4 linked regions of the Arabidopsis thaliana genome follow. The protein of the gene in region 2 interacts with the protein of the main gene of each other region in a biochemical or structural test. Each region holds a gene or a part of one and is shown on either strand. Other genes may lie near its edges. The genes, in order: RING1, TFL2, CMT3 and LIF2.

The links.
Region 1: the proteins of TFL2 (region 2) and RING1 form a complex in vitro, tested with the Arabidopsis thaliana proteins (one study listed by BioGRID).
Region 3: the proteins of TFL2 (region 2) and CMT3 form a complex in vitro, tested with the Arabidopsis thaliana proteins (one study listed by BioGRID).
Region 4: the proteins of TFL2 (region 2) and LIF2 form a complex in vitro, tested with the Arabidopsis thaliana proteins (one study listed by BioGRID).

Annotation. Positions count from the first base shown.
Region 1 is NC_003076.8:3,265,640-3,269,327, forward strand, and holds RING1 (RING/U-box superfamily protein), read left to right. Parts: upstream 1-1,995; 5' UTR 1,996-2,179; coding exon 2,180-3,085; 3' UTR 3,086-3,174; downstream 3,175-3,688. Other genes in the region: AT5G10370 (helicase domain-containing protein / IBR domain-containing protein / zinc finger protein-like protein), read left to right, coding at 1-115, 327-1,549; AT5G10390 (Histone superfamily protein), read right to left, coding at 3,426-3,688.
Region 2 is NC_003076.8:5,826,643-5,831,590, reverse strand, and holds TFL2 (uncharacterized protein), read left to right. Parts: upstream 1-1,830; 5' UTR 1,831-2,053; coding exon 2,054-2,413; intron 2,414-2,726; coding exon 2,727-2,752; intron 2,753-2,832; coding exon 2,833-2,940; intron 2,941-3,052; coding exon 3,053-3,808; intron 3,809-3,890; coding exon 3,891-3,951; coding exon of another isoform or gene 3,952-3,969; exon of another isoform or gene 3,970-4,039; coding exon 4,040-4,087; 3' UTR 4,088-4,420; downstream 4,421-4,948. Other genes in the region: AT5G17700 (MATE efflux family protein), read left to right, coding at 88-206, 304-390, 471-566; AT5G17680 (disease resistance protein (TIR-NBS-LRR class)), read right to left, coding at 4,438-4,948.
Region 3 is NC_003070.9:26,247,661-26,255,437, reverse strand, and holds CMT3 (chromomethylase 3), read left to right. Parts: upstream 1-1,750; 5' UTR 1,751-1,918; coding exon 1,919-2,134; intron 2,135-2,263; coding exon 2,264-2,301; intron 2,302-2,418; coding exon 2,419-2,521; intron 2,522-3,035; coding exon 3,036-3,143; intron 3,144-3,229; coding exon 3,230-3,349; intron 3,350-3,452; coding exon 3,453-3,552; intron 3,553-3,663; coding exon 3,664-3,872; intron 3,873-3,962; coding exon 3,963-4,028; intron 4,029-4,104; coding exon 4,105-4,362; intron 4,363-4,454; coding exon 4,455-4,513; intron 4,514-4,595; coding exon 4,596-4,662; intron 4,663-4,894; coding exon 4,895-5,224; intron 5,225-5,301; coding exon 5,302-5,370; intron 5,371-5,439; coding exon 5,440-5,526; intron 5,527-5,614; coding exon 5,615-5,702; intron 5,703-5,809; coding exon 5,810-5,925; intron 5,926-6,031; coding exon 6,032-6,136; intron 6,137-6,215; coding exon 6,216-6,259; intron 6,260-6,355; coding exon 6,356-6,425; intron 6,426-6,578; and 5 more. UniProt on the Arabidopsis thaliana protein: Involved in the CpXpG methylation (e.g. CHG cytosine) and in gene silencing. Methylates preferentially transposon-related sequences. Functionally redundant to DRM1/DRM2 to maintain non-CpG methylation. Involved in RNA-directed DNA methylation.
Region 4 is NC_003075.7:349,999-355,757, forward strand, and holds LIF2 (RNA-binding (RRM/RBD/RNP motifs) family protein), read left to right. Parts: upstream 1-1,970; 5' UTR 1,971-2,198; exon of another isoform or gene 2,199-2,409; intron 2,410-2,753; exon of another isoform or gene 2,754-2,783; coding exon 2,784-3,215; intron 3,216-3,302; coding exon 3,303-3,419; coding exon of another isoform or gene 3,420-3,455; intron 3,456-3,519; coding exon 3,520-3,660; intron 3,661-3,739; coding exon 3,740-3,919; intron 3,920-4,017; coding exon 4,018-4,219; intron 4,220-4,357; coding exon 4,358-4,539; intron 4,540-4,636; coding exon 4,637-4,722; intron 4,723-4,819; coding exon 4,820-4,967; 3' UTR 4,968-5,250; downstream 5,251-5,759. Other genes in the region: iqd17 (IQ-domain 17), read left to right, coding at 1-185, 310-453, 533-1,309; AT4G00840 (DHHC-type zinc finger family protein), read right to left, coding at 5,485-5,601, 5,680-5,745. UniProt on the Arabidopsis thaliana protein: Transcriptional activator that binds DNA on GAGA-like motif and 5'-(C/G)ACGTG(G/T)C(A/G)-3' consensus motif in the promoters of target genes.

The sequences.
Region 1 (3,688 bases), 2.6 Mb from region 2:
CAGAAGATAAAGTGCGAACAATTGTTTCAGAGCTCCATAATCTGCTCCGCTTCTATCTACAACACTGTCAAAAGACAATTGAACGTTTTATTAGCAAGGTTTGAGAGACAAAAAGGTAAAATTTCTACACAACATTTGATCTTTTGCTCTTTAATTTTCTGTCAACAAATAACCTTACTGAATGTCTACTTCTGACTCCGATATTGATTAAGAACAATCGTGTAGGGTAAGGGATATTTGAAGGATGCATAAGCTTAGGTGTCCTATTTTTCCTGTGAACTTGTCCAAATTTTGATGTGCATTAACGTTTGTTTATATTTTTGTAGGGGGTGAATGCTGTCTGGAACCAACTCATAACGGGGCTTATCGTGTTAAAATTACTGCTTATGCAACAAGACCCGTTGCGGAGATGCGGAGAGAACTTGAAGAACTCTTAAGAGGAAGACCCATAAACCATCCAGGCTTCACACGTAGAGTCCTGCAGCATCTTATGTCCAGAGATGGTATTAATCTGATGCGGAAGATCCAGCAGGAGACAGAAACTTACATTCTATTAGATAGGCACAATCTCACAGTACGCATTTGTGGAACAAGTGAGAAAATTGCCAAGGCAGAACAAGAACTGATTCAGGCACTTATGGATTATCATGAGAGCAAGCAACTTGAAATCCACCTCCGAGGTCCTGAGATCCGTCCTGACCTCATGAAGGAAGTTGTGAAGCGGTTTGGTCCGGAGCTCCAAGGTATCAAAGAAAAGGTGCATGGTGTGGATCTCAAGCTCAACACCCGGTACCATGTTATTCAGGTTCATGGGAGCAAAGAAATGAGGCAGGAAGTACAAAAGATGGTCAATGAACTTGCACGAGAAAAGAGTGCACTGGGTGAAAAACCAGATGAGATTGAAGTTGAATGCCCCATTTGCTTGTCTGAAGTTGATGATGGCTACTCTCTTGAAGGATGTTCACACCTCTTCTGCAAAGCTTGTTTGTTGGAGCAATTTGAGGCATCGATGAGAAACTTTGACGCATTCCCAATACTTTGTTCTCACATAGACTGTGGAGCTCCAATAGTACTCGCTGATATGAGAGCCCTCTTATCACAAGAGAAGCTCGATGAACTCTTCAGCGCATCCTTGTCCTCTTTTGTAACATCCAGTGATGGAAAGTTCAGGTTTTGCTCCACACCTGATTGCCCTTCCGTCTACCGTGTAGCTGGACCTCAAGAATCTGGTGAGCCATTCATCTGTGGAGCATGTCACTCAGAAATATGCACAAGGTGTCACCTCGAGTATCACCCGTTAATCACTTGTGAAAGGTACAAAAAGTTCAAGGAAAATCCGGACTTGTCGCTAAAGGACTGGGCAAAAGGGAAGAACGTAAAGGAGTGTCCGATTTGCAAGTCGACGATAGAGAAGACTGATGGGTGTAACCATATGAAGTGCCGGTGTGGAAAGCACATTTGTTGGACCTGCTTAGACGTCTTCACTCAAGAAGAACCTTGTTATGCCCATTTAAGGACAATTCATGGTGGAATCGGATTAGTCGAGTAAGGTGTCCCAGAGGACCCCGTTGCCCAGCCCGACTAGACCGGACCTATGTATCTATATTCTGTAACATCTGGTATGCTTAATGTGTACATATGTGAAGATAGTGTAGTTCGGTAGTTATACCTTCTTTAACCAACTGAAAAAACCGATCATAATCTAAACCGGATGCCAAATAAATTAAGATTGTTGTAAATGAAAGACTTACTTGACTCGCTACATGACTGATTACGCGTAAATGTCTACAGAGAGTTTACTAAGTTGAAAGGAAACTACTTCCTAACATACAGAGACATCGCCTTTAATGGCGTTATCACTTTCAGGAAATTTCCACCCACTTTCCAACCCTTAAAAAGGACAAATCCTCTCTAATTCCTAGTCTTGTAGATTGTGATGTGTGTGGCTGTGTACCCACTTATTTCCTCACGAAGATTTTTTGGGTCATGACTCTTGTCTAGATTCTAACCCATTTTGTGGGTTTTAGTGTCCTATTTCTTTTTGCTTTCATCAGAAGCAAAAACTTGGAATTGTGTGTCATACCCATTTTCCCCTGTTCTTGTTCTGTTTTCTACTAGTTGTGTCTGAAAGTAAAGTCCTCTGTTTTTGCTCTGTTTATGTCGTCTCTGAACTCCTACAATGGCGTTTAATCACAGAAAAATGCTTCTTTCATGTCTACAGTTTAAAGATTTACGCTTTTGTTTCCGGCAATACCCTCCCCCGCCACCACCACCACCGCCACCGAGGGAGCTCTCTCTCCTACTCCCCACCTCGATCTGCGTCGTCGGCTCAATCATACTCTTTCTATTTCTAGTCTTCTTCCTCTACCTCCACATCACGCAACAACGGCGGATTTCAGCCGCCAGCGTAACTCCCGGTGACACAAACCAACAGGAAGATGAGGACGAAACAGAGGAGAGAGATTTCTCCGACTTTCATCACGTTTGGCAAATCCCAACCGTCGGTCTCCACCGTTCCGCGATCAACTCGATCACAGTCGTTGGATTCAAAAAGGGAGAAGGGATAATCGACGGCACAGAATGCTCTGTCTGCTTAAACGAGTTTGAAGAAGACGAGTCGCTGAGACTGTTACCAAAGTGTAGCCATGCCTTTCATCTAAATTGCATCGACACTTGGTTGCTCTCTCACAAGAACTGTCCTTTATGTCGTGCCCCTGTACTTCTTATCACTGAACCACCTCATCAAGAAACAGAGACGAATCATCAACCAGATTCTGAATCGAGCAATGACCTCCGTGGAAGACAAGACAGTTCCAGATCTAGAAGAAACCATAACATTTTTCTTCCAAGGGCACAAAGTGATTTGGCAAACTACTGTGGCTCAGGAAGAGTAGAAAACGTGAGAAGATCGTTTTCAATTGGAGGAAGCTTATCACTTTGCGATGGTATTAACAATGCTACTAGAAGTGGAAGACAGTTCTATACCAGCTTCAGTGCTAACTTGTTCTCATCATCAAGAAGAGTAAGGAACGAACAACCGATTCCACAAAACCAAATGCCATCCGTAACTGGTAACACCAGTTAATTGGTGTAACTACATTGAAGCTTAATGTAATATCTAGTGTGTTATATACAGTATCTGAAATAAATCGAAACTTTCAATGTTTCAATATTATATGATCAACGAGCAGCAAAACCAAAGAAATTAAGGAAAATAAGTTCTATTAAACAGGAGAGAGTTTCGTTGGGGTATTTCATCGAACACTTCAAGGCTAACTAAACCAAAGTACCTAACAACTGAAAATTAAAACGAGCCAAAGCTCAACACTTACAAGAACCCATTACTACTAAAACGCAAATCAAAATCCAGAAATAGAGTTCCATTGACGAACTAAATCAAAAGATATAAACCATAACAACAGTCTTCAAGCTCTTTCTCCTCTGATTCTCCTCGCGAGCTGGATATCCTTAGGCATGATGGTGACCCTCTTAGCGTGAATGGCGCAAAGATTAGTGTCTTCAAACAAACCAACAAGGTAAGCCTCAGCAGCCTCTTGTAAAGCAGCAACAGCACTGCTCTGAAACCTCAGATCCGTCTTGAAATCCTGAGCTATCTCACGAACCAGACGCTGGAAAGGAAGCTTACGGATCAGAAGCTCAGTGCTCTTCTGATACTTCCTGATCTCTC
Region 2 (4,948 bases):
TTATATTAGACATAAATAAATTATAACATAAACTTTTAGATTTCACTAATTTGTAACCACTAAATTTGTTTGAACATATATAAACAGGGGTAGCAATTGGAGCAGGGATGCAGAGTATGGTAGCATTAGTGAACTTAGCATCTTATTATGCAATTGGTGTTCCTTTAGGTGTCCTCCTTGTTTACGTTTTCAATTTTGGGATTAAGGTACATCATATATATGAAAACTGGTATCCAGTACTTCATTATGATCAATCATTAGAACTTTTAGAATTTTAACTTGAATAAATGATATTGTATGCAGGGACTCTGGTCCGGAATGTTGGCTGGAGTTGGTATCCAAACGTTGATATTGTGTTATGTTATTTACAAAACTGACTGGGAATTGGAGGTAATTTACTTTTAATATATAACTCAAAATTTTTATTAGAAAATTCGTCATATTAAATGTATAATTTTATCTAATTACAGGTTAAGAAGACAAACGAGCGTATGAAAACGTGGACTCTAAATTTACCTGCTGTACAATCGACTACTATCTCCACAAGAGATGAAGAGAGAAAGTGAACATACAACTAAGTTAATTTAAAGAAATCTTTTAAGAAATTCTTTATAAAAAAAGAAAGAATAATTTATGTTGTATTGTGGTTGTGTTTTGCATTCCCTAAGAATGAAGTATCGGTGTTGAGATTGCATTATTAGGTTAATGCAACTCTCATAACTTTGAAAAAGGTTAAGAAGGATGAACTTTTTCTTTTATCAGAGAAAAAGGTTGTTCTCTTGTTCTTCGGATATACTCTTTCTAAACAAAAAAAAAATTGTGGGAGGTTTGAAATTTTAACTTCTTTCTTGATTTTTTAATGGATGTATATTTTGTGTGTGGGGAAAAAAATTCCATTTGTTTGAGTGCTTGTAATCGTGAATTTTTACAAAAAAAATATTCTCATATATATTTCGAGGAAACGTTACAAACTTTCATAAGCTCACCATCAAATAAAATACTCATTTATTTATGTTGAAGTCAAAACGTTCCATTTTTCCCCCTATTTATGAACCGATCCTAATGAATGTTTTTTTTCTTCCTTTTTACTTCTTTCATATCACCATTTTAAATAATAATAGTAATTATTATTTTTCTAACGTTTAAACAAAAAAAGAACTGCAAATTTTATAGTAACAATTCAAATTTAACAAAGCGATCAAAACATGCATCATTTAGTGTACAAGTACTAATCACAAAGAAACAAGTTTTGGTTGGACAAAGTATAGAACAAACACACTAAACTGAAGAAAATAGAACTTTAGCCCACCAAAAGTTGAGGCTAAAACTCGAGCAGTAATCACATAGTTACTATCAAGATAACTATACTTTGGAATGAAAGAATCTGAATCTCGATGAAGTTTATCTTGGAGAAGGACTTTCTTTTCTGTTGGTTTGGATGAGATATTGCTGAAAATTATTGATGATGATGTTAGGAGATCCAACTAAGTTGTCTGCCTTTGCAGTGCACTTGGAGACTTGGAGTGAGAATCTTAGTTTATGAGACTTATTTTCTGATTTTTCAATCTCCTTTGATTTTTTTTTAAGTTGTAATAATGTCCTAGTTGATTTCCTTGTAAAAGGAGCAAGAGCACGATGTTCTTTTATTTCTAATTTAAAGAAAATGTTTTCAGTTTAATATATTTTTCGATTTAATTTACCTTCACATATTTTCTTCAGTAGTATTTATTATTTTCATATTAGTAATTAGAAATAATCTCTTCTAATTAGATTATAAACGTTAAGAATTTGCTGTATTCAACTTTTCCTATTGTGATATTAAAAAAAAAAAAAAAAAAGAGAATCCAAAAAAGTGAAAAAACTGGTCTTTGAGGTCAGGTCAGGTCTTCTTCCTGCAAAAACAAAAACCTCAGAAATAGAGAAAAAGTTTCAATCTTTCTTCATCTTCTTCCTCCAAAATCCTTGATTTCTAAAAAGGAGAAGAAGAGAAGAGAACGCGATTACCTTGATTCACCCTCCTCCTTCAGGTTTGGGAGGCTCGAATACTCAGGAAATGAAAGGGGCAAGTGGTGCTGTTAAGAAGAAACCCCAGGTGTTGAACGAAGCTGGTGAGGCGGAGACGGCGGTGGAAACAGTCGGAGAAAGCCGGAAAATTAGTGGAGACGGTGGGTTTGGCAGTGACGACGGCGGAGGGGGAGGTGGAGGTGGAAGTGGAGAGTCGATTCTTCGCGAGATTGGTGATGATAGGCCTACGGAGGATGGAGATGAAGAAGAAGAAGAGGACGAGGATGAAGATGATGGAGGTGATGAGGAAGATGAAGAAGGAGAAGGAGAAGGTGGGCAAGAGGAAAGGCCAAAGCTTGATGAAGGGTTTTATGAAATTGAAGCTATTCGTCGTAAGAGAGTTCGAAAAGTAAGCTCCTTTTTTCGTCTTCACTCAGCAAATGTGGTTTGTTTTTGTTAACCATAATTAGTTGAGGTTTTAGGTTTTCTAGGTTTAAGATAAGTATCAAACGTAGGTTACACATTGGTGTGAGAAAGTGGCTGCTTTAGTAGTTAGTAATCATCGTAACAGAGTAGTTTATAACGAACCAAAGTTTTGATTCTGTGGTTGTTATATGTTGTAGGAAGAAAATGATCTTTAATGTTTGATATCTTCTTGGATTTGATTGATTGAATGATTCTGATTCTGCATTTTGGTACTGTTTTTTTTTTTGTATTTGTAGGGCAAGGTTCAGTATCTAATTAAATGGTGAGTTTTTCTAATCTTACTTGGTTTCATTTTTAAGTTTGTTGTTCTTGATTAAACATATGTTTTTCCATTGACATAAGTTATAAACTCGGTTGTGAAAGGCGCGGATGGCCTGAAACTGCCAACACATGGGAGCCTTTAGAGAATCTCCAGTCTATTGCTGATGTTATAGATGCCTTTGAGGGAAGGTAAGTAAATGGAATCTTATATAAAAGTTTTGTGATACTTTTGAATTGATTGTTTCATGGATTTTCTTGGTTTAATGTATGGATTTGCTTTCTTGTTTCATATGTTTCAAAGTTTGAAGCCAGGAAAGCCTGGTAGGAAACGGAAGCGCAAATATGCAGGTCCTCATTCTCAGATGAAGAAGAAGCAACGTTTAACATCTACATCACATGATGCTACTGAGAAATCTGACTCTTCTACGTCTCTCAACAACTCTAGCCTTCCTGACATTCCTGATCCACTAGACCTAAGCGGTTCGAGTCTATTAAATAGAGATGTGGAAGCGAAGAATGCTTATGTATCCAACCAAGTTGAAGCCAACAGTGGGAGTGTTGGGATGGCCCGACAAGTTCGTTTGATTGACAATGAGAAAGAATATGATCCAACACTTAACGAGCTACGAGGACCAGTCAACAATAGTAACGGTGCAGGATGTTCTCAAGGAGGAGGCATTGGTTCTGAAGGTGATAATGTAAGACCCAATGGCCTTCTCAAGGTTTATCCTAAGGAGCTTGATAAGAACAGTCGTTTCATAGGTGCTAAGCGGAGGAAGTCTGGTTCTGTGAAAAGATTCAAACAAGATGGATCCACAAGTAACAACCACACAGCACCTACAGATCAGAATCTGACACCAGATTTGACTACATTAGACTCTTTTGGTAGGATTGCAAGGATGGGGAATGAATATCCTGGTGTGATGGAAAATTGTAATTTGTCTCAGAAAACCAAGATTGAGGAGTTGGACATCACGAAGATACTTAAACCAATGAGTTTTACAGCATCTGTATCAGACAATGTCCAGGAAGTGTTGGTGACCTTTTTAGCGCTGAGGTTTGTCTCTTTAGCTCTTTGGTCATTTCTCGTAATTTGATTTCATATTTGTACAATTGTACTTATTTGGTTACTCTCATAGGTCTGATGGGAAGGAAGCATTGGTGGACAACAGATTTCTCAAGGCTCACAATCCTCATCTCGTAAGATTATCTTTATAGCTTTTTTTTTCTGCACTTACTCATTTGGAAGTTTCTTATTAGCTTTTCTAATTTGTTTTTCCCACACCAGCTGATTGAATTCTATGAGCAACATCTCAAGTACAATCGAACGCCTTAAATCATCCGGAATGGTAAGAATTTGTTTGTACACAGCCCTTGTAGGTAGAAAAGATTAGATGGCTTCTTTATTCTAGCAGTGCAACATGTAGAGTCGAGGTAGCGACAATTGGATTTTGTATCGCGTCTCCGGGAGGTTTCAGATTGTAATTTATCTCCTCGGGTTCGTTGTGTTCACTCTCTATCTCTATCATAGTAAATCTTGTTACTTGGACCTTTGCTTCTTATAGCGGAAGTTTTCTTGTACTTGCTTCTTCAAAGATCAAGTTCATGATATGTTGATGTTATCAAAATATATGTGATCAATCAATATATAATAATTATGTTTACAAGCAAACCAAGTAATTTTTTTTACTTTCGTATGACATTTCGCTGATGTAATTTGGAATGACGCTCTCGAGCCAAAGGAACTGGAAGAAACTTGATCCTCTTGGGATTTAGTTGTTCCTTATGCAAGAACTCAGTTTCATATGCTCTTCTTTTCAAAATTCTTGCGTCATCAAATGCCTTTGGAAGATCCAAATCAGAACTCTGAATTTTGTCAGAGTCATTAGAGAACTCTTGCATCATGTCTTTGAGTGATATAAGGTGTACCGCACATTTTTTAACCTCTCCAAGCGGGCTAAAGGAATCTCCTTCTGTGTTTTCGACTGAGAATTCAAACAGGGCTTCGCTGTAAGCTTCCATGGACGTGCAGGTTCTGCTGAATAAGAGAAGGTGATCTGATCCAAAATACATGTTTGTGAAAGCTTTTGGATCAGGATACCACACCTCATCCATAACAACCAGCTCACAAGCATCAGCATCTTTTAATATACAAGAGCAGTGTATCTTCAGATTGTTCATCGGGTACTGTCCATCA
Region 3 (7,777 bases), on a different chromosome or scaffold from region 2:
TCACACCACTCCTAGTCCTAGCGAACTAGCTGCATAGTGTAAAATACTTTATATATGAAAAACTTAGACATAAATATATATATACGTGTGCGTGTGTGATGCATGTTTATTGTTTTTTATTCAGGCCTATATGCATTCTACATGTTTTAGATCAAGATGGTGATACAGAGACACTACTAATACAAACACTTGCATAAATCCTCTATGATTATGTCATTCGTATTCATTATTTTAAAAAGAAAATTTACGTCAATACTTGAAATACATTAATTGATATATGTTTTCCTAGTTTTGGAGAAAAGGGTGGTGTTCATATGTTGCAAAACACAAACATGTAAATACAGCAAAGAAGACATAGTGGACCCATGACAAGAAATAAGGCCCAAAAGTTGGGCTAATTTCAGCCATCACGACAAAGGCTACTTCTCATTTCGACATCCATATTATTCTATTCTTGTACACTTCTCTTTCATTCACTCGTCATTAATATGCCTTCAATCTAATATATTTAAGGACACAATTATACACACGTCCATATATAAACTTATATTGTTGCCTTGTTGGATATATATAAAAGTTATTGTAATTAGTAGTTACTAGTTAGAGTAATTTTCAGGTCTAATAGTGATGAGATTAACGTATTTTCTTCTTTAAATTTCAGTTATTTGCAAATAATGTCACTGCTCGATTTCCTGGAATAAAGGAGCTAATAAGAGTATCATGTTCTCCTTCATGTTACCATTTCACGTTTGCACGTTTTTTTTTTTTTTATTATGAACAAGATTACGATCACACGTTCGGTTTGTTGTTTAGTCGTTCCAAGTGTATAGGAGTTTTATCCACACAAAAAAAATTTTGATAGGAATGTGTAATTCCATAAAGATTTCCATCGTTACACACTAAAGTTTTATCTTACGCGCCACGCCGTTTGTGGAGTAACCGAGTAACTAATTTACTACTAGTCTTGATGTTGGTAGGATTAAATAAAAGAATCATGGAGATAGGATACGATTGTGTTTGAATAATTCAATATGTTTATATCTGGAAAGATCTACAAATTTGATATGATCACTAAGATTGTGGGAATTTATTCAAATCCAAAACACATAGTTACAAATCATATACAAATATGGAAAATAAATAATGTCTAATAACATTTGTGTAACATCATCTTTAATGCGAGTCATTTAGAAATGTAACTTTTTTTCTTTCTGATATGTTTATTTCTGGAAATATATACAAAATTGACCTGATCACTAAGATTGTGGGAATAATTCCAAACCAATATAGAAAGTGATAATTTATTAAAAACTGAACATTTGTGTAATCTTTTTTTTTTTTTTTTTAATGTAATGTCAAATTATATTCAAAAAAAACATATACTTTTTTACAACTTGTGCTTCATGTGTAAGAAAGGGAGAGTGCTAAAAAAAATTCTGAAATTGTCCAAAAATGATTAGATCTTTCGTAGAGTCGATGTTGACTACCCCGGGAATGAACCCATTTGTGTAATCTTTTAACATTTATTAAAAACAAATCATAGATAGCTAAGATTGTGGGAAGAATTCCAAACGAAATTAAATTCACACTAACACATTTACTAAAATCATAGATAGATATAGAAAGAAAAAACTTTTCTACTAATTTTTTTGACATTTGTGTACTCATTATAGCGAGAGAAAGAGATGGGCCTCAAAACTTTTATTAGGCCCAAACGTTTTAAATTCATTATAAAAATAAAACAATTCCACGAAAATTTCGAAACCCATCACTTTGGCGCTTATGTGACGCGCTTATTTCGCCCTCAATCTCAGATTATTTAGTCCTCACACTCGTCACACCCCCGCTTCCTAGGGTTTCATTTCGTCTCTTTATCTTCCTTCGTCTCTTTAGCTTCCTTCGATTCTCTGACTCAATCATGGCGCCGAAGCGAAAGAGACCTGCGACAAAGGATGACACTACCAAATCCATTCCCAAACCGAAGAAGAGAGCTCCTAAGCGAGCTAAGACGGTGAAAGAAGAGCCGGTGACAGTGGTCGAGGAAGGGGAAAAGCATGTTGCGAGGTTTCTAGACGAGCCAATTCCAGAATCTGAAGCGAAGAGTACCTGGCCTGACAGATACAAACCGATTGAGGTAATTTCATACATCGGAAACTGGAATTTTGGGTGTTTGTGTATGAAATAGTTAGATCTAGTTGAAATTTGCTGAGATTTGTTGCAGATCTGTTGATTTCTGAAGGATTTTTTGTTTGTTTTGTTTCAGGTACAGCCACCTAAGGCTTCGTCAAGAAAGAAGACGAAGTAAGTTCCTTGAATCCTTTGGTTCTTGTGTATAGTCAGATTGAGAGGCTTTACTTTTGTTTGATTAGAAATGTTTTTTGTTTCGTAAATAGTTGATTAAGTGAATTCGTTTTGTAGGGATGACGAAAAAGTTGAGATCATTCGTGCTCGATGCCATTATAGACGTGCGATTGTTGATGAGCGTCAGATATATGAGCTGAATGATGATGCTTATGTACAGGTATGACTCTATTACGTCTAAATTGCATTTGTTACATTTTAAAGCGTAGATTTATGTGGTACATTGAAGAAAATGAGTTAGAGAGGAGAATGTGCATGACATTGTGTTTCTTGGTGTTTGAGTTTGATGACTATTGAGGTTTTACCACTTTTTTAATGTGCCAACATGGTTTTACTGTGTAGAAAATTTTGATGTGTAGGGTAAATAATTAACCAAAGTTGATCACATTCTCCTCCCTCACCACTATCAACTGTCCGCAATAAATATTTGTGCATTGTCTCTGTTTGTCATGCTTTGTATATCTCCAAGTCCTTATGATAGTAGTTACCTTTCGAAGCTGAGTTCTCATCTGTAACAATAACTAGCTGATTGTTATTTAGACTGGCATTGCATATTATGCATTGGCTATATGAACGTTTATCATGTTGTTTTATGTTTTTCGTACAGCGTAGGTAGATGCTTTACCATATATAACTTCTGTTTTTAACAACTGAGTTTTGTAATTTTTGTGCAGTCTGGTGAGGGAAAGGATCCCTTCATTTGTAAAATCATTGAAATGTTTGAAGGGGCTAATGGGAAACTGTATTTCACGGCTCGGTGGTTTTATAGACCTTCTGATACTGTAAGAATAAAAAAAATCTTCTTCTTCACTTTCTCTTTAATCTATGTTGAATTGTCTGAAGTTTTTTTTCTATTCTTAACTTTCAGGTAATGAAAGAGTTCGAGATTCTGATCAAGAAAAAGCGTGTGTTTTTCTCTGAGATACAAGATACAAATGAATTGGGATTACTTGAAAAGAAGCTGAACATTTTGATGATTCCCTTGAATGTATGTTCTTACTTCACTGTTACTTGTAGTGTATGCTTTTGGTATACAGTATCTTAGTACAATCTTCCATTGATACTGAACTTATTTTTGTTTCTCATGCCAGGAAAATACTAAAGAGACTATCCCTGCAACAGAAAACTGTGACTTTTTCTGTGACATGAACTATTTCTTGCCTTACGATACATTTGAAGCTATACAACAAGGTTAGTGCTTTTAACAATTGATCTTCAAGTTTAGAAACTGCCAACTGGATTAGATAAAATGCTGCAGTTTTTGAAGATAACTAAGCATTTACAGATCTTTCAATTGTGCAGAAACCATGATGGCTATAAGTGAAAGTTCAACAATATCCAGTGATACTGATATAAGAGAAGGAGCTGCTGCCATATCAGAGATTGGAGAATGTTCTCAAGAAACAGAAGGTCACAAAAAGGCAACTTTGCTTGACCTTTACTCCGGCTGTGGAGCTATGTCGACAGGGTTGTGCATGGGTGCACAACTGTCTGGTTTGAACCTCGTCACTGTGAGTCATTTTTGCTTGCTAATAATCTTCTCAGATTTGTTTAATCTCTCAATGCTTAACTTTTGCTTTTTTTTTAAAATGATTCTCAAGAAATGGGCTGTTGACATGAATGCACATGCATGTAAAAGCTTGCAGCATAACCACCCAGAGACAAACGTAAGTTTTTAGTTTTCCTTTCTCCCAATTCGATTGACTACAGAAATTCTCAAGAGCCTAAATCATTTCATTTTAGGTGAGAAACATGACCGCAGAAGATTTCTTGTTTCTGCTTAAGGAGTGGGAGAAGCTATGCATTCATTTCTCTTTGAGAAATAGTCCAAATTCAGAAGAATATGCCAACCTTCACGGTTTGAATAATGTTGAGGACAATGAAGATGTCAGCGAGGAGAGTGAAAATGAAGATGATGGAGAAGTTTTTACTGTTGACAAGATTGTTGGTATTTCCTTCGGAGTCCCTAAAAAGTTATTGAAACGTGGACTTTATTTGAAGGTATTGTTGCTCTGCTTGTACAAATTTCACATTACATCTCATGGTTTAGCCTTGTTATATAGTTAATCATCTCTGGTGTTTTGATATAATAGGTAAGGTGGCTGAATTATGATGATTCTCATGATACATGGGAGCCTATTGAAGGACTCAGGTGAGCAAAACATTAAGAATGTTTGCATTAAAGTTATATATGTTAATGCGTTGTTAAAATCTCTAAATTTGTCCTTGAACAGTAATTGCCGGGGTAAAATTGAAGAGTTCGTTAAACTTGGATATAAATCTGGCATCCTTCCGTTACCAGTATGTATTTTTTATACCTGATTCTTTTGCTTTCCTTAAACTTCTGAAGCTAGTGCATAATTTTCAGATATTTAATCTAAAAGCCAATAATCTAAGTTATTGTATGTGATAAGTTCTATGGGTCTTATGTTGTTCTGCGTCAGTTAATTGTTGAGGGGTGATAGATTTAGTCACAGAACAGTTGATGTTTAGAGCAATATCCTGACATTGTTTATATGTTGTTGATGTTTAGGGAGGTGTTGATGTTGTCTGCGGTGGGCCACCATGCCAAGGAATCAGTGGTCACAACCGCTTCAGGAACTTATTGGACCCTCTAGAAGATCAGAAAAACAAGCAGCTTTTGGTGTATATGAACATTGTAGAATATTTGAAGCCTAAGTTCGTTTTGATGGAAAACGTCGTTGACATGCTGAAGATGGCTAAGGGCTATCTTGCACGGTTTGCTGTTGGACGCCTTCTACAGATGAATTACCAAGTGAGGAATGGAATGATGGCAGCTGGAGCTTATGGGCTTGCTCAGTTTCGTTTGAGGTTCTTTCTATGGGGTGCACTCCCTAGTGAGGTAAAATTCTTAATGTTTTCTCTTTGTTTTATATTAATGAATAGATGCTGTTCTTAATTTGTATCTTTCTGTTTCAGATAATTCCGCAGTTCCCACTTCCAACACATGATCTAGTTCATAGAGGAAATATTGTCAAGGAGTTTCAGGTAAACTGGTATATTAGTACCTTTCAATTTGTTTTAGCAAATTCTCATATTTATTTGTAACTAATGCAGGGAAACATAGTAGCCTATGATGAAGGACATACTGTGAAGTTAGCAGACAAGCTTTTGTTGAAGGATGTGATTTCTGATCTTCCTGCAGTAAGTATTGATGTTTTTAGCAAATTTTGACTAAAATTAGGTACAGTTTGTCTTGAATATTTTCTTACTTCCTATGTTTTTGTATTAGGTTGCCAACAGTGAAAAAAGAGACGAGATTACATATGACAAAGATCCCACAACGCCATTTCAAAAGTTCATCAGATTGAGAAAGGATGGTAAGATTCTTATTATTTTTTTGGGCAAACAGTGTAAAAACATATATTTGACAACTATTATGGCAACTGATGTTCATTAACAAATTGTTTCTGAATTTTTTCAACAGAAGCGTCAGGTTCACAATCAAAGTCCAAGTCCAAAAAGCATGTCTTATATGATCATCACCCTCTTAATCTTAATATAAATGACTATGAACGGGTTTGTCAGGTCCCCAAGAGAAAGGTACAACTTTCTTTATACTCGATTGACGATCATATATTTTTTTGGCTCTGGTCTGTTTTAGTGTCTAGGAATATTCTGATTATTTCAAAACATCTTTTGGTATCAGGGAGCGAATTTTAGGGACTTTCCTGGTGTTATTGTTGGACCTGGTAATGTAGTCAAGTTGGAAGAGGGAAAGGAAAGGGTCAAACTTGAATCTGGAAAAACATTGGTAAGAATGATCATCTCTTTTTTTTGGTCTCATATCAAGTTACTTTTCTCCTGATTGGCTGGCTATGTTATTCAAACAGGTTCCCGATTATGCCTTAACATATGTCGATGGGAAATCATGCAAGTGAGTTTTAATTCTCTTTTCTTCGTCTCTGAAAATTCTGTATTTGACTATTGTTTTCTGTTATGGAAATTGACTTAAGCCCTTCGCTGTTTCCAGACCTTTTGGTCGTCTTTGGTGGGACGAAATTGTCCCCACTGTTGTCACACGGGCAGAACCCCACAACCAGGTGAGACCTCTCATGACAATCAAGTATTTGTTCTGAATTTTGGCTAGTTGTTATTCTAGTGTTCTAGGTTTGCATAGATTTATTAGTATGCATGTTACACTGGAACCAACTTAAAGAGTATAATTGTTTGATGTTGCTGGTGATTGATTGCAGGTGATCATTCATCCAGAGCAAAATCGGGTTTTATCCATTCGAGAAAATGCGAGACTCCAAGGCTTTCCTGATGACTACAAACTCTTTGGCCCACCCAAACAGAAGTGAGTATTGTTAAGACCTTGAGTTTATGTGTGTTCTTGGTGGATTTATTGCTGCTATAGTTCTTAAGACTAATCTTACATAATTTCTGTTTTTCAGGTACATTCAAGTAGGTAACGCTGTAGCTGTGCCAGTAGCGAAGGCCCTTGGATATGCTTTGGGAACAGCTTTCCAGGGACTCGCAGTTGGGAAAGATCCACTTCTTACTCTGCCTGAAGGTTTTGCATTCATGAAGCCAACTCTTCCTTCCGAGCTTGCATGAACACTGTTGATTCATCGCATTTTTCGATTTATCTTCTATTCATTGTTTTCCTAGGATTTATCTTTAGACCATTTGCTGCGGAATTTGGATTTGTTTTGTTTAAGTTTCACGACTTTCAAGTTTAGCAACTCTGAATTTCTGGTAACTTTGTTTTAATCAGATGTTATGGATTTGTGGGATTCTCGTTCTTTTTGTCTAAGAAGAGAACTCATCTTCGGTTCGGTTTTATTACTGTTTCTTGATTAAAGGCAATGTTGGATTCGTTCGGCTACAAAAACTTTGTGCCTTTTAAGATATGGTCCATTTAATAATAGGCCGAACTGCAAATGTGATCTGTTTTGGTAAACATTTTGTGCCTCTTATGAATGAATTCAAGTTAGGCCTATTATTAACTGTACCCTATCTTTTTCAATTCAGTAACTTTCAATTCTACATAAAACACACTATACATTCTTAAGCGGGAAAAAAGTTTTTGGCCTAACGTACTTGAATTCATTAACTTACAATTCTACATAAAACGCTATACATTCCTTTTTCGATGTGGTAAATTGTTATTAAGAATGAATAAAACCATACAAAAATAAGCATCAAAGTAATAAGTTAGCAGAATTGTTAAAGACTTGAAGTAAAACAAATACTTTTACTAGAATAGAGAACAAACCAATGTTTATGGATCATAGAAAAGACTATAATATAACACTCACTAGTTAATCAAATTGCATAGAATACAAGAATGGTCCACTACTCGAACATCGTCGTTATTGTCGGGCATGGTCTATTAATAATACAAATGCATCATCGATTAAGTTGATTAGTTATATTACTTTACTTTCCG
Region 4 (5,759 bases), on a different chromosome or scaffold from region 2:
ACAATGTGAGGAAGCAAGCAAAGATGACTTTAAGGTGTATGCAAGCTCTAGTTCGAGTCCAATCTCGTGTGCTTGACCAACGGAAACGCTTGTCTCACGATGGTAGTCGCAAATCTGCCTTCAGCGACACTCAAAGTGTGCTCGAATCTCGTTATCTTCAAGAAATATCAGACAGAAGATCCATGGTGAGTGATCTCTATAAGTTTCAGAACACCATTGTTGCTCTGTTTCAACGACCATTTTTGCTCTGTTTCAGCAATCAGCTATATAAAGCTAACATTTTGAAATGCCTTTTTTGTTGTTGTGTAGTCAAGAGAAGGAAGTAGCATTGCGGAAGATTGGGATGATCGACCACACACGATTGAGGAAGTGAAAGCAATGTTGCAACAAAGACGAGACAATGCGTTGAGACGTGAGAGTAACAATAGTATATCACAAGCTTTCTCTCACCAGGTAATAGATATGAATTCATATTAATCGTTTGTTTGTTTTCGGTAATTTGATTCGTTTCGGTGTTTGATTTCGGTGAAAGGTTCGGAGAACAAGAGGTAGTTATTCTACAGGAGACGAGTATGAAGAAGAGAGACCGAAATGGTTAGACAGATGGATGGCTTCTAAACCGTGGGATAAACGAGCTTCAACGGATCAAAGAGTACCACCGGTTTACAAAACCGTGGAGATCGATACTTCTCAACCGTATTTAACCCGCGGTAACTCGAGAACCGGTGCAAGTCCAAGCCGTAGCCAAAGGCCTAGTTCACCATCAAGGACCAGCCACCATTACCAACAACACAATTTCTCATCAGCTACACCATCTCCGGCTAAATCTAGACCGATACAAATTCGATCCGCTAGTCCGCGGATCCAAAGAGATGATCGGTCAGCGTACAACTACACATCAAACACACCTAGCTTGAGATCTAACTATAGTTTCACAGCAAGAAGTGGTTATAGTGTTTGTACCACTACTACTACTGCTACAAATGCTGCATTGCCAAACTACATGGCGATTACGGAATCTGCTAAGGCTAGAATCCGGTCTCAGAGTGCACCAAGGCAACGGCCTTCAACACCCGAGAAAGAACGTATCAGTTCAGCTAGAAAACGGCTTTCGTTTCCAGTTCCACCGCTGCCGCAGCAAATGGATGGTCAGAGTTTAAGGAGTCCAAGTTTCAAGAGTATAGGTGGCTCACAATTGGGTGCATTGGAACAACAATCAAATTACTCTTCTTGTTGTACTGAGTCTCTTGGTGGTGGTGGAGAGATATCACCTGCTTCTACTAGCGATTATAGGCGATGGTTAAGATGATTCCATAATCCAACCAAATCAACCGGTCATGATTTTTTTCCTCCCTTTTTTTTTTTTGTTATATATAAATAAAAACAATTTGACAAAAAGAACCATAACTTTTTCAGTTTTTATTGATGATCTTTGAGATTGGTGTGTAATTTTGTTTGTGTTTATGTTTGTGTGTGTGAATTTGTAGCTTATAATTGGAAGTGTTTACTAACTAATCTCTATATAAATATGTATGCTCATATTTTTATCTATAAATGTTGCAATTAGGATGTGAACAATAGTTTATCAATCTGTCATGGTATCTTTGTTAATTATATGGAATCTTTTTAGTATAAAATAACGAAAATTTTCACTGGCCTTATTTGTTTTTACATGCAAAGTGAAGTTGTTAAGAAAACCATAAAAAAAAGCTGCAACTTTGCAACTTGAGATCCACGAGCAAGGAACATTACCCATGTGACATGATTCCTACATGATCAGTCTTGTCTTCTACGTTATACACTACTACTCTATATCCACCTAAATATAAATTAAATGCTTCTGAAATGGAATAATTTTAAAACAGCACGTAGTTTTCATATCACCAAAGAAAACGGCAGGGCTGGCAAAATCACGAATTTTTTAAACAGGTATAATAAAGAACTAGAAAACACTAGGCCCAATAAAAACAGTGGGCTTAAAAAGCGTTTTGATTTAGGGTTAATGTGTGCGTAACATGTGATCATAGCCCACGAGTGGGTAAGGAGTGTCTTCATCTTCTTCTACCGGAGATCGAGAAATAGCCGACGAAGTTTTGTTTTTTGAGTAAAACAGTATTCGTCGGACAACCGAAGCGAAATCCCTAATTTCCCACAACACGAAATACCAATTTCCCCAATTCGAAAACAAACACGGTCTGGTATGCCGAGAAAATTCTCCATTTCTACTTTTCTTATACATTTGTTTTGGTTGTTTCATATAAATACTTCTCATCTTCTTCGATTTTGTTACCCTCCCCCAAACAATATAAAAAAAAAAGGATAAACCCTAGTTTCTTTCTCAGACTGTTTCAAGTTCAGATTTTTATTTCTGAGCTTAACTGGTGAGTAATTTGCTTTCTGGAGAGATGTGTGAGTTACGATCTCTAATTTCATTGGTTGCTTCGGTTATGGCTTGATTCTTCTCTCTGTTATCAATTTGGATCTGGAATCATATATATACATACACAAAAACTCTGCTCTTTTTCAAAGTTTTGATTTTTATCTCATTTGACGCTTGTTTCGTGATAGCAATGAACTACAATTCTTCTGTATCTCTGCCACTAAAAGAACCTGAATTTAGTTTGAACCATCCTTTCTTCTCCACATTTTTTTAAACGAAAAAGAGCAGTTCTCATATCACCCATTATAAGCTTTTTTTTTTGGTGTATGGTCCTATAGCATTTTTTTAACAGTGATTACCTGAGCTTCGTGGTTAAAAAAGAGTATGGTTATTGGATGACCAGATGTCAGACGCAAGAGATAATGATGACCGTGTGGATTTCGAGGAGGGTAGCTACAGTGAGATGGAGGATGAAGTGGAGGAGGAACAAGTAGAAGAGTATGAAGAGGAGGAAGAAGAAGATGATGATGATGATGACGTTGGCAATCAGAATGCCGAAGAACGTGAGGTGGAGGATTATGGTGATACAAAAGGTGGGGATATGGAAGATGTTCAGGAGGAAATAGCTGAAGATGACGACAACCATATTGATATTGAGACAGCAGATGATGATGAGAAACCACCATCTCCTATTGATGATGAAGATAGGGAAAAGTATTCCCACCTTCTTTCACTTCCTCCTCATGGTTCTGAAGTTTTTATTGGTGGGCTCCCAAGGGATGTTGGAGAAGAGGACCTGAGGGATCTATGTGAAGAGATAGGCGAGATCTTTGAGGTTCGAACTGCAATAATCTTTGTGTTTCATGATATACTCTTTGTTGGTTCTGTATTTACGACTGAATTTTAATTCCTTTTCTATTAGGTGAGACTGATGAAAGATAGGGACTCTGGTGATAGCAAAGGCTATGCTTTTGTAGCTTTCAAAACCAAAGACGTTGCACAAAAGGCCATTGAGGAGTTGCACAGTAAAGAGTTTAAGGCAAGCTCAACTGCTAACTGTAGCTTAAGTTTATCGGTCATTGCTAGTTTGCATTTTACTTATAACAATTTTGTTTAACCTATACCTAATTTTTGTACAGGGAAAAACCATAAGGTGCTCTCTTTCCGAAACGAAGAATAGGTTGTTCATTGGTAACATACCAAAGAACTGGACTGAGGATGAGTTTAGAAAAGTCATAGAGGATGTTGGTCCTGGAGTGGAGAACATCGAGCTCATAAAAGTTAGATGACTTAATCAATCTGATTGCCATGCTTGATCTTACTTAATTGCCTTACTAATTATCTTCTTGTTACTTGTAGGACCCAACAAATACCACTCGTAACCGTGGTTTTGCATTTGTTTTGTACTATAACAATGCATGTGCTGATTATTCAAGACAGAAAATGATAGATTCTAATTTTAAGCTTGAGGGTAACGCTCCAACTGTGACTTGGGCAGACCCAAAAAGCTCTCCTGAGCATTCTGCTGCTGCTGCTCAGGTATTATTTAAATAGAGGGTTTAGTCAATCTGCACAAAAACCTCTCTCCTGGCAAAGTTGGCACTTTTTTGACAATCTCTTTTGCGTTATATACTCAGGTGAAAGCCCTTTATGTCAAGAATATTCCAGAGAATACCTCAACAGAGCAGCTAAAGGAACTCTTTCAGAGGCATGGAGAAGTGACCAAAATCGTTACACCTCCTGGAAAGGGTGGAAAACGTGATTTTGGGTTTGTCCACTATGCTGAAAGATCTAGTGCATTGAAGGCTGTCAAAGATACCGAGAGATATGAAGTCAATGGTAAGTTTTTTTAGTCATCTAGAAGACAGCTATTGAGTATTATGAACGTTATGCTATCAATTTGTCTCTAATGGCGTATGTTTTTTCGTCTCAAGAGATGTTATTGAGTAACACATTCCACAAACTTGCAAACTACAGGTCAACCACTAGAAGTTGTGCTTGCTAAACCCCAGGCTGAAAGGAAGCATGACCCTTCTTCTTATTCTTACGGGGCTGCACCTACTCCTGCCCCCTTTGTGCATCCCACGTTTGGTGGTTTTGCTGCGGCTCCTTACGGTGCTATGGGTGCCGGTTTGGGTATTGCCGGTAGTTTTAGTCAGGTATATATGTTTCTAAGAAAGAGCTGTTTGTCATCCTTGACTAGTCTTATCAGCCATTGTTTTGTGTAACGTTTGGTTTTAATTTTGCATTGAGCAGCCAATGATCTATGGTAGAGGAGCAATGCCAACAGGGATGCAAATGGTTCCAATGCTTCTTCCCGATGGCCGAGTTGGCTATGTTCTGTAAGTCGATGGTTCTTGTAAACAAATTTGTTGATCCTTCTCTATTGATTCATATTTACTTTCGCTTAATAAATAACCAATATGGATTGCTGTGCAGGCAACAGCCTGGTATGCCGATGGCAGCAGCACCACCACAACGACCAAGAAGAAATGACCGGAATAACGGCTCAAGCGGAGGGTCAGGCAGAGATAACAGTCATGAACATGATGGTAACCGAGGAGGCCGAAGGTACCGACCCTACTAGTAACCATAGAGAAAAATAAGCAAGTAGAAAAAGAAAAGGAGAAGTGTATTGGGATTTGTTTGTAGTTTGTTTTTGGAGAACTTTAAAAAGCTCTCTCTCATGTGTTATAAAATATGAAATCGAAACCTTATGGTTTCTGGTTTGATATGGAGACTGCTGGGGGGATAGGATTGAGTGATTCGATCTTTAAATTATGAGACTTTTTAGTTTTTTCTCTTCTGAATAATACTCTTATCAATTATCCATCAGATTTGGTGTTTTTGCTTTCCCTAGCCCTTGTGCAACGTTGTTTACTTATACAACAAGTTATCACTGGGTCTCATCACATAACATTACAGTCTGAAGATGTCAAACGAACTTAGACTTTCAACAAGAAGCAAAGAAATGAATCAAATCAATTACAATAATACAACAACAATTGGCAATGAGAATTCTTTTTGAGTAGAGAGTTATCTACATTGGAGTGCAGTTGAAGGCTGTTTCGAATATGATTGATTGATTTTGTTTCAACTTTCAATCAAGGGTCGATGTCAGAACAAGTTGGAAATTCAAGGCCTTCAAGGGAAGTTATGTTATCGATATCGTCTTTAGAGTACAATGGGAGGAGCCAAAACGCCTTCTTCTTCCCAAAAACCTTCACAAGATGAAAACAAAGAGTTATATATTTAATTAACTAACAATCCATGGAATGATGAAAACAATAAAATCTCACCTGCTCGAAGTTTTTCTTCTTTCCTAAGTCATATTTCCATCTGACTTCTCCATTTTTCTCATGAACCTAAAAAAATAAGA